Sus scrofa: one gene and its partner. The protein of the gene in region 1 interacts with the protein of each later gene in a pairwise test. Links are inferred from orthologs where the notes say so. Each region holds a gene or a part of one and is shown on either strand. Other genes may lie near its edges.

Evidence for each region. The genes of interacting proteins can lie anywhere in the genome.
Region 2: the proteins of NELFB (region 1) and NELFE interact in binary tests that used the Homo sapiens proteins (3 or more experiments, as listed by UniProt). The link is inferred for Sus scrofa from reciprocal best matches to the Homo sapiens genes NELFB and NELFE.

What each region holds. Positions count from the first base shown.
Region 1 is NW_018084833.1:653,253-657,637, forward strand, and holds the start of NELFB (negative elongation factor B), read right to left. Parts: upstream 2,993-4,385; 5' UTR 2,918-2,992; coding exon 2,663-2,917; intron 2,313-2,662; coding exon 2,149-2,312; intron 1,989-2,148; coding exon 1,889-1,988; intron 1,559-1,888; coding exon 1,328-1,558; intron 1-1,327. UniProt on the Homo sapiens protein: Essential component of the NELF complex, a complex that negatively regulates the elongation of transcription by RNA polymerase II.
Region 2 is NC_010449.5:24,043,871-24,048,442, forward strand, and holds the start of NELFE (negative elongation factor E), read right to left. Parts: upstream 3,063-4,572; 5' UTR 2,955-3,062; intron 2,516-2,954; 5' UTR 2,508-2,515; coding exon 2,433-2,507; intron 731-2,432; coding exon 661-730; intron 560-660; coding exon 414-559; intron 1-413. UniProt on the Homo sapiens protein: Essential component of the NELF complex, a complex that negatively regulates the elongation of transcription by RNA polymerase II.

The sequences.
Region 1 (4,385 bases):
TAGGGGGCAGCAGCCAACAGGAGGCGCTCCCCTGGGGCTGACAGGCCGTGAGGATGCACAGTGCAAGCTGGGGGACACGCAGCAGGAGCAGACACCCGCGGGGACAGCCCCCTACCTCAGGGCCCCGGCCAGGCCCCTGCAGCTGGCCTCAGGGACCCGGGCAAGCCGAGCAGACCCAGAGCACGACCCAAAGTCTCGGCACCCAGCCCCAGCACCTCTAACGTGGAACAGGAACGTGCACGGCCTTGCGCAGCCAGGCCTGCCCACCGCCACCAGGAGGGGGCGACGCTCGGGCCGCGGGCAGGCGGGGCACAGAACTGTGGCCCCTGCAGCCGACCCACCCGAGGGCCCTGGGTAACCTGTCAGCGGCCGCTCGCTCTGCCCTTGCACTTAGGGGCGGCAGGAAGGCCCCAGCCCCCAGGGGCCCCTGGCTGGAGGGGAGAGTGAAGGAGGAGCAGGACCACGCGTCCCCCAGGACAAATGCCAGGGAACGAGGGCAGCGCTCAGAGGCACGCTCAGCGGCCTGGCCAGGAAGCGGTGCTGTGAGCACTGGCCCGACGTCCAGGAGAGGTTAGGCGACAGCTGCCTCACCGCACACACACACCCAGGTGGGGAGGCCGCCCGCGAAGGCAGCAGCCAACGCTGCTCGGCCAACATTTGGCCTCTTGGGGTGAGGGGTCACCCTGACGCTTGGCCAGCCCCTGGACCCCACCTCACCAGGAAAGGCCTCCAACGCCCCCAACCTCACCCTGCCTCCCCAGCGTGCTCCAGGGAGCACACAGGGCCGCCTGTCACCCCAGACACCCTGGCCTTTGCTCCCTCCTCGGCTCTGCTCACGCCCGGAGCCAGCTCCTCCTCACCTCCAGAGGCCACCCTGGCCGTCCCAGCCCGCCTCGCCCCACGGCCGCACGCCTCCACAGCCGTCAGCCAGCCCTGGAGCCAGCCCTGGAGCTCCGGACGACTGACAGCAACGTCTGCTGCATGGAACCGCCCCGCGCCAGAGCTTGAGGACCCAGGCAGTGCCCTGACCTCCGAGGCAGCCAGTCGCCACCCAGAAGCATGTGTTGAGACAAGGAATAACCAACATAAAAAGAGGAAAATCCCCACGGCTGAAAGAAGACACGAGAGCTTAACGCAAAGGCCTGCCGAGCTGCCGAGTGGAGGCAGGTCAAAGACCCAGAAGACCCACGCCAAGCACAGCGCTGCGATCCAGCCGCGCCAGGCCCACTGCCCTGGAGCGGACAAGCCAGCGCTCACGGGAGTGGGAACGGGACTGGCCAGGGTGGCCCTGGACGTGCCCGCCCCGCACAGCCCTGCCCCGCCTCACCTCACCCTGGCGCCTCGTCTTGGGGGAAGGACTGAAAAAGTTGTGCAGGACGGAGAGCTCGGGGCTGAAGAGCGCGTTCTCCTTCTCCACGATGTACTGTTTCAGCAGCGGGGAGACCTCGTCGCCGAAGAGCGCCTGGTTGTCCTGCCAGATCTGCCGCTTCACCTCCACGGCACAGGCCCGGTACAACTCCTTGTCAGCCATCACCAGCTTCAGCTTCTTCTCAGGCACCTACACGACCCCACGGGCCACCTGTGAGCAACCCCTGGGCCCCAGGGGTCTCTCAAGACAAATCAAGAGCCCCCCCCACAGAGATCACATCCAGCCCAGTCCAACCCACGGGGGGGCACCTGGGACTGGTCCCCCAGGCCCTGGCAGGTGTAGTCAGTTTTTACCCAGAAAGAGCTCCGTGCCCCAAAGCACGTGCCCAGCTTCAGGCGGCGTGGCTCAGGGAGAGGCCAGCACGGAAACAGGCCCGGAGCTGTGCGGCCGCCAGCAGGCAGCTCGGGAAACCTCCCAGGAGCCAGCCAACGCCTGGCCCAGCTGGCCTCGCAGGTTTACCTTGGGCAAGTGTTTCATGACGCACATCACCACCGGCTGCAGAGACGGCATCTTCACCAGAGAAAAGCTCTTCTCCAGAAGCTCTTCCAGCTTCTTGTACCTGGAAAAACGGGCACGACTGAGGGAGGCAGCACAGAAGAAGTCGGAAGCAACTACCTACCTGCCTGACCCTAGACAGGTGGTGTGCGCAGGCGGGACCCCGGGGGACATGCGGACCGTGAGTGCTGGGAGGGGGCCGCACATCGCACCTGCCCACCTACCTCTCCTCAGCCTTCCCCTCGGAGGCGATGGCTGACACCCGCTCCAGCAGCTTGTCCCGAAGCTCATCAAACACCGACTGGTGGAACTCCAGCCGGGGTGTCCCATGCAGGTCCAAGAAGGGCAAGGCCGACTGCAGGGAGGGCAGCAGCACGCCATTCTCTGTCTAAGGAAGCGGAGGGCCAAGGTGAGGTCGATTTTGCTTACCCCGGGCGGCAAGAGAAACCTCAGCCACAGCCACATCTGGCCAGGCACCCCTATGCTGAGTACACAGGGAGGCAGCTGCAAGGACGTTCCCAGCTGCGCTGGCTGGGCTGTAACTGCAAAAGCTGGAAACCGCTCAGATCGCAGTCGACGTCGTCCTAGTTCAGGACACCCGGTTCCTCCCTCCCGGGGAAGAGACGCAGCTACCTGCAGGGAGAGAAGCCCGCCCACTTCCCACGGACCCCGCCCCCCCGCCGGACTCACACACCCAAGCCACCGGCCTCTCCACCCGGCCCCTCCACCCGGCTCCACCTGGAACTGCTCGATGGCCTTAAGCGGCTCCGTGCAGTTGGTCAGCGTCTCCTTCAGGTCCTCGCCGTTGGCCACGCCCAGGTCCTGCAGCCCCGCGAACATGGCCGAGGCCCCCGCCCCCACCCGGCTCGGCGCCCCATCCCCTCCGCGCTCCCCGGGCGCCGATCCGGTAGCCGCAGGCCCAGCAGCTGCCCGCTCGCCAGGGCCTCGGGGGCCGCCCGAGCTCCTCTCCCCGGCGCCCTCCAGCTCGGCCAGGTCCCGCCCGCAGCGCGGCTCCGCTTGGACCGCAGCTGCCCACTTCCGCCCCGCACAGCCAGGTCCGCCCGCCAACCGGCTCCCCGGAAACGCCGCCGCCGCCGCGCAGAGGTTCCGGGAAGCAGAGCCGCGGCCGGCGCCTGGCAAAGACCCAGCGCGAAGCCGACGCCCGGACGTCGCGCAGGCCCCGGACGAAGCCCCGCCCCGCCCCGCGTGGCCTCGCCCCCTGCGCGGCCCCGCCCAGCGACGCGGCGCCTGCGGCCTCAGGCAGGTGCGGCCCCTGGGCCCCGAAGAACCGCGGGCGGGGTGCTCGGGGACGCCTGCGGGAGGGGCGTCGCCTGCAGGGTCGGCCTGCTTCGTGGGTTTCAGAAGGAACATTTTAGCCAAGTGCGTTTTATTTGATTTTTTTGATTTTTTTTTTTCTGTTTTTTCCAGGACCCGCGCGGCATGTGGAGATTCCCAGGCTGGGGGTCGAATGGGAGCTGTAGCCTCCAACCTACGCCAGAGCCACAGCAACGCCAGATCCGAGCCGCGTCTGCGACCTACACCATGGTTCATGGCAATGCCAGATCCTTAGCCCACTGAGCGACGCCAGGGATCGAACCCGCCACCTCATGGTTCCTAGTCGGATTCGTTAACCGCTGCGCCATGACGGGAACTCCTGCATTTTATTTTAACCTTGAAAAATCGTGTTGCTGACCTCATGGCATTCTTTTGATGTTGAGAATATTTTTGCTTGAGAAAATGGAGCCCTGCCACCCTAGAAACTCCCTGCCCCTGTGGCCCTCTCTCTTTCTGGAACTTGGTTCCCTCCTTGTCCAGCCTGACCAAGTTCACAGCTGAGATCGAAATCTAAGTGTGCCTCAAATTGGGGAGGGGGTGGCCTTGCAGTGACAGCATGACAAAGGATGGCTGTCCTCTGGTCACCTTGAACACGTACCCCCCTGGCTAACCCAAGGTGGTAGGCCCTCAAGCTAAAGTCCAGGCTGACTCTCTCTTGGTTCCAGGCCGTTCCTTGTCCCTTGCGGTACAAGAAGCTCCTACAGGGACAGTGGGCACCACCTGCTCTGCACTCTCCTCGGGCTCCCGGTTGCCAAGGGTGCAAGCCCCTGGAGCCAGCGCACAGCCTCTGCAGCTTCTCCACCCCTCCGGTTCACCTTCCACCCCCCGGCCCCAGGTTCTCCCAAGCTTGGCCACACCAAACCCCACACCCTCTCCCTTCTCGTGTGCCTTGGCTTCCAAAGTTTGCTCGGCCAGAAGTTCCCTTCCTGCTGCCTGGCAAACTTGAGCTCATCTTTGAAAGCCCATTCCTCCCCTGCCTCCTCCAGGAAGCCCTCCCTCCTCAGCACAACTGGAGATTTTTTCATCCTTTCTGCTGGTCCCACTCCTGGCTTAGAGCCCTAGTGGTTGCTGGTGGTACCGCTGTGAGCAGAGCTCCTGGTCCCCCCAACCTGGACCAAACTCCCAA
Region 2 (4,572 bases), on another chromosome or scaffold:
AGTTATCTAAGAATGTTCTGGAGTTCCCTGGTGGCCTAACGGTTAAGGATCTAGTGTTGTCACTGCTGTAGCTTGGGCCATGTGGCATAGGTTCGATCCTTAGCTTGGAAATTTCCACATGCCATGGATGTGGGCAAAAAAAAAAAAGTCTTGGATCTGATGACATTTCTATCTCGATTCAACTTCTCAGAGTATGAGGTGGATTAGAGCCAAAGAAAGTGTAAAATAAAGAAGAATCTAGGAGTCATCTAGCTCCTTCATTTTCGAGGTAAGAAACCTGAAGCTCAGAATGGCAGAGCAATTGCCCAGGACTGAACCAGCATTACTTTCCCCCTAAACCTACCTCTGTTCCAACTTGGCAGGATCCCTCTGAAGTCACGGATGCCCTGAACCATCTTTCTCCCTGTGCTCACCTTTAACTTCCCCTCTAGAGTTCGAGAACGTTTGAAGCCCGAGTTCTTGGTCTCGGCCTTGATGGCACTGATGGCTCCTGACTTCACCAGCTGCTTTGCTTGCTCAGTTGCTGTGGCCGTGTCCACCACGGGCTGCTCTGACAGAGCTGGAGTGGCGGGGGAAAGAGGCTTTGTGTTGGCCAGGCTGTGACAGAGGTCGGCCTGGGCTCCTCACTTCCGGTCTATCCCCACTTCCCCTGTCACTCACAGCGTTTGACACCACCTTGGCTGGCAGTGCTGCTGCTGCTTTGCTTCTTCAGAGCCAGCAATGCCTTTTTCTGGGAATGAGAGTGAGAAGAGAGGGGTCAGTGAGGGCCAGTCCCTGCCCAGGTCCTCTCCCAAGGCCCCTGGGCACATCACTCCAGGGGACAACTTTCTCAGAGAAAATAATGCAAATGGTGCCCCTAGAGTGGCACACTGAGGCAGCCCTGCCTCTCACATATGGTCCCCCAGAGCATCTACAATGCTAACAACACCTAATCTATTCAAACCACAGTATCCAGAGGCTTTCCAGAGTCTCACGTTTCTCAAGTCGAAGACAAGGGGTTTAATCATAGACCAGAGTCTGCAGATACAAGCTGCAATTAAGTGTAAGTCTCCATGCCTTCTTGGGGGCTTCACCTGTCCGCCCCCTAAACGTTTAATCAGAAAGAGCATCACTAGGAATTTCTGTAACAGGTCTATGCAGAAGTATGAGACGGAAATCCTCCCCTCAAGAAGCTTAGAGTTTGAGAAATAAGATGACCAGACTAAATTGTCAAGACTGATTAAAGAAGTGTAGACTATAGCTGAGAGCAAGTAAGACCTTCCTGATGCCCACATTAAACTGAGCCCTGGATAGAATCTACAATAACATACAGAAAAGAAAAGGCATTTTAGACAAAGAAAACAAGGCGGCAAAGATGCAGAGATAAGACTCTGGGTGTGTGTGTGTGTGTGTGTGTGTGTGTGTGTGTGTGTATGTGTGTGTGTTTTGGGATTAAGGAATAGTTCTTTTTTTTTTTTTTTTTTTTTGTCTTTTTGTTGTTGTTGTTGTTGTTGTTGCTATTTCTTGGGCCGCTCCCTCGGCATATGGAGGTTCCCAGGCTAGGGGTTGAGTCGGAGCTGTAGCCACCGGCCTACGCCTGAGCCACAGCAACGCAGGATCCGAGCCGCGTCTGCAACCTACACCACAGCTCACGGCAACGCCGGATCGTTAACCCACTGAGCAAGGGCAGGGACCGAACCCGAAACCTCATGGTTCCTAGTTGGATTCGTTAACCACTGCGCCACGACGGGAACTCCCAGGAATAGTTCTATTTGACGAGGAAGGGCTGCCAAATTAAGGCTCTTTTATAGACAATGTGAAACCACTGGCTTTTGAGAAAAAGAAGGACAGTGTTTTCTGTTTTCAAAGCACCATTTTAATAGAAGTAAAAAAGTCTGTCGAAAAAAGAAACTTGCTGAGAGACGATTACAACAGTCTAGGTGAGCATCAGCAAAGGCCTGACTGCGAGAATACACAGGAAGGAGTAAACAGAAGAAGTTACTTCAAAGGAGGAATCAAGACGACTCGGCAAACATTTGGCTACGCAAATAAGACAGAGACGAGATCTGGATTCCAAACAGCGGGAGAAGTGAATGGAGTCAGTCCTATTTGGAAGACCAAGATTAGAATAGGTAAGACCAGAGCGGCAATATATGAAGGTTATTGGCAAGATACAGATGGAACTAAAAAAAACCAAGCCTGGGATCACCAGTTCTTAGGTGGTACTAAAAGCCGGAGGAAAGGAAGACACCTCCATGGCAGACTATACAGAAAAGAGAGAAAAGCAAGTATCCACCTTGAGAAAGTCCACCCATGAAGGGACACTGAGAGGTGCCATGTCTCTAGGTATGAGCTAGAAGAACCCCCACCCCCCCATCCCCTCACACTCACCCCAGGTGTTCTCAGTGTAGAGTCTTTGAAAGTTTGGGCCATGCCCACACACACTCCCTCACCTTTTTCTTGAGTTTGTTGAATTTCTTCTGCAGAGCCTCCTCCTCCTCGCTCAGTCCGGGGGGTATCACCAACATGGTGGCTCCTGGTTCAGGGGCAGGGCCCAAGACATCTTTCTCCACTGTCACCGCCCAGGGGTCACACGCCGTCCACACTGCACCCAATCCCACCCCTCCAGGCCTGCCTACTCCTGTCTTTTGCCTCTCCCTACCCCTTGCTTAAACCAGCTGCCGTCCAAGCCCCCGCTCGTCGGGATCAACCAGCATTCCCTTCTCTCTCCGGGAATCACGGATACCAGCGCCTTGGGGCACCACGTAGCCCAGGAAGGGAGAAACACCCCCTCCGTCGCGAAGACGATGGCACCAGACCCCCCCTACCTCGCTGGGGTTAGTATGGCATTCGCAGGGTCCGAAAAGCAGAGGAGGCAGTGGAACCCGCGCAGCGCTCTCAGAGCAACGAACAGGGCAAGAAGAGAGAAGGAGCTCGGAAAAAAGGGGCGAAGGGTGAGACGGAGAAGGCCTTACCTGAGGGGGCGGCAACCGGAGCCCCACGGTCTCGGGCGGCGCCCGCGCGGGCAGCGGATCGCTGGCTCGGAGCGATGACGTAGCGAGGGGCGGAGACCGCGGTAACCAAGGCGGCTCGCGGCGCGCACACTTCCGTCCGGCCTCCCACCAGCTTGGGTTCCGCCCCTCGGTAGTGCTCGTCCCCGCCCCCAGCGGGGTGTGTTCCGGAAGTCGCCGCTAGTTCCGCGGGTTTCGGCTCCTCCCTACACTTCCGGGCTGCCCGGCAGCTACCGTGGCTCCAGGATGATGGAGACGGAGCGACTCGGTGAGGGGGCAGAAGGTGGGAAGGAGGAGGAGACAGGGAATGACCCTTGACCCCTGACCTGTGATTTTCCTCCCATAGTGCTGCCTACCCCAGATCCCCTGGATCTGCCCCTCCGCGCCTTGGAGCTAGGATGTACCGGGCGCTGGGAGCTGCTGAATGTGCCTGGGGCTCCAGAGAGCACCGTGAGTGACTTTTAGCTCTAACCTAACCTTGACCCTTATTAATAGGGCTTAAAACCCCTTTCAGCCTTCTCACAGTAGGGTCTAACCTGACCTGGCTCACCTGTCTCTGGACACCTGTCATCCCAGCTTTGGACTGGTGCGGGATGGATCCCAACCCAGTCGACCTGCAGTGCGTCAGAGCCCATGAGAAGACAGAGCAGGGAGCCCTGGGGATAACTTTAGCTCTGAGAACTGCTCTTTCCAGTGGGTCTTTTCTCCCTGGCATCTTCTTCTGTCTCCAAGCACCAGGGCACTTGTTGGTGGCTGATAGGTCAGCCCTTGAGCACCTTCGGTTTTTCATCCTTAGGTCTGGGGCTCCTTTTCCTAAAACTAGTGATTATCAGAATCTGTGTGCCTCATGATTAGAGGGGGAGCTTTCCTAAATTAGAAATTCTTAGGTCCATCTCCAGAAATTCTTTAATCCAAAATCTATATTATTAAACAGCTCTCCAGATAATTCAGTTGCAGGTCAGTTTTTCCTATAAAGTAGGACAACCTTTGGAAACTATTGCTTCAGCCTAATTGTCCTAGCCTGTATGGGACACCTACCATTTCTGATCTAAACATGAAGCCCGTCACCATCTCTTTTGTCTGTGTCTTACTCTCTTTCCTTGCCTCATGCCTCTCGTCTTGCCCTGTTCCAGCTTCCCCACGGCCTCCCACCCTGTGCCCCAGATCTGCAGCAAGAAGCAGAACAGTTGTTTCTGTCCTCTCCAGCCTGGCTGCCTCTGCATGGTGTGGAGCACTCAGCCCGGTGAGGAGTCTAGAGGGGCCTGGACTAGGGGAAATGGGTTCCTGAAGGAAGTTGAGACAGAGGAGAAAGAGCTGAAAATTTCTTTCTGTCCAGAAAATGGCAGAGGAAGATGGATCCCTGGTCTCTCCTGGCCGCACTGGGGGCCCCAGTCCCCTCCGACCTGCAGGCCCAAAGACACCCAACCACAGGCCAGATACTAGGCTACAAGGAGGTAAGAGGTCAGGGGCCACAAGAAGCAGAGTTGGGAAGTGGGGGGGGTGGGGTGGGGGGGTGGCGGCCGGAGCGGGGGGTTGTCAGAGGCCAACTCAGCCTCACTGGCGCTCTGATCTCTTGCCTCAG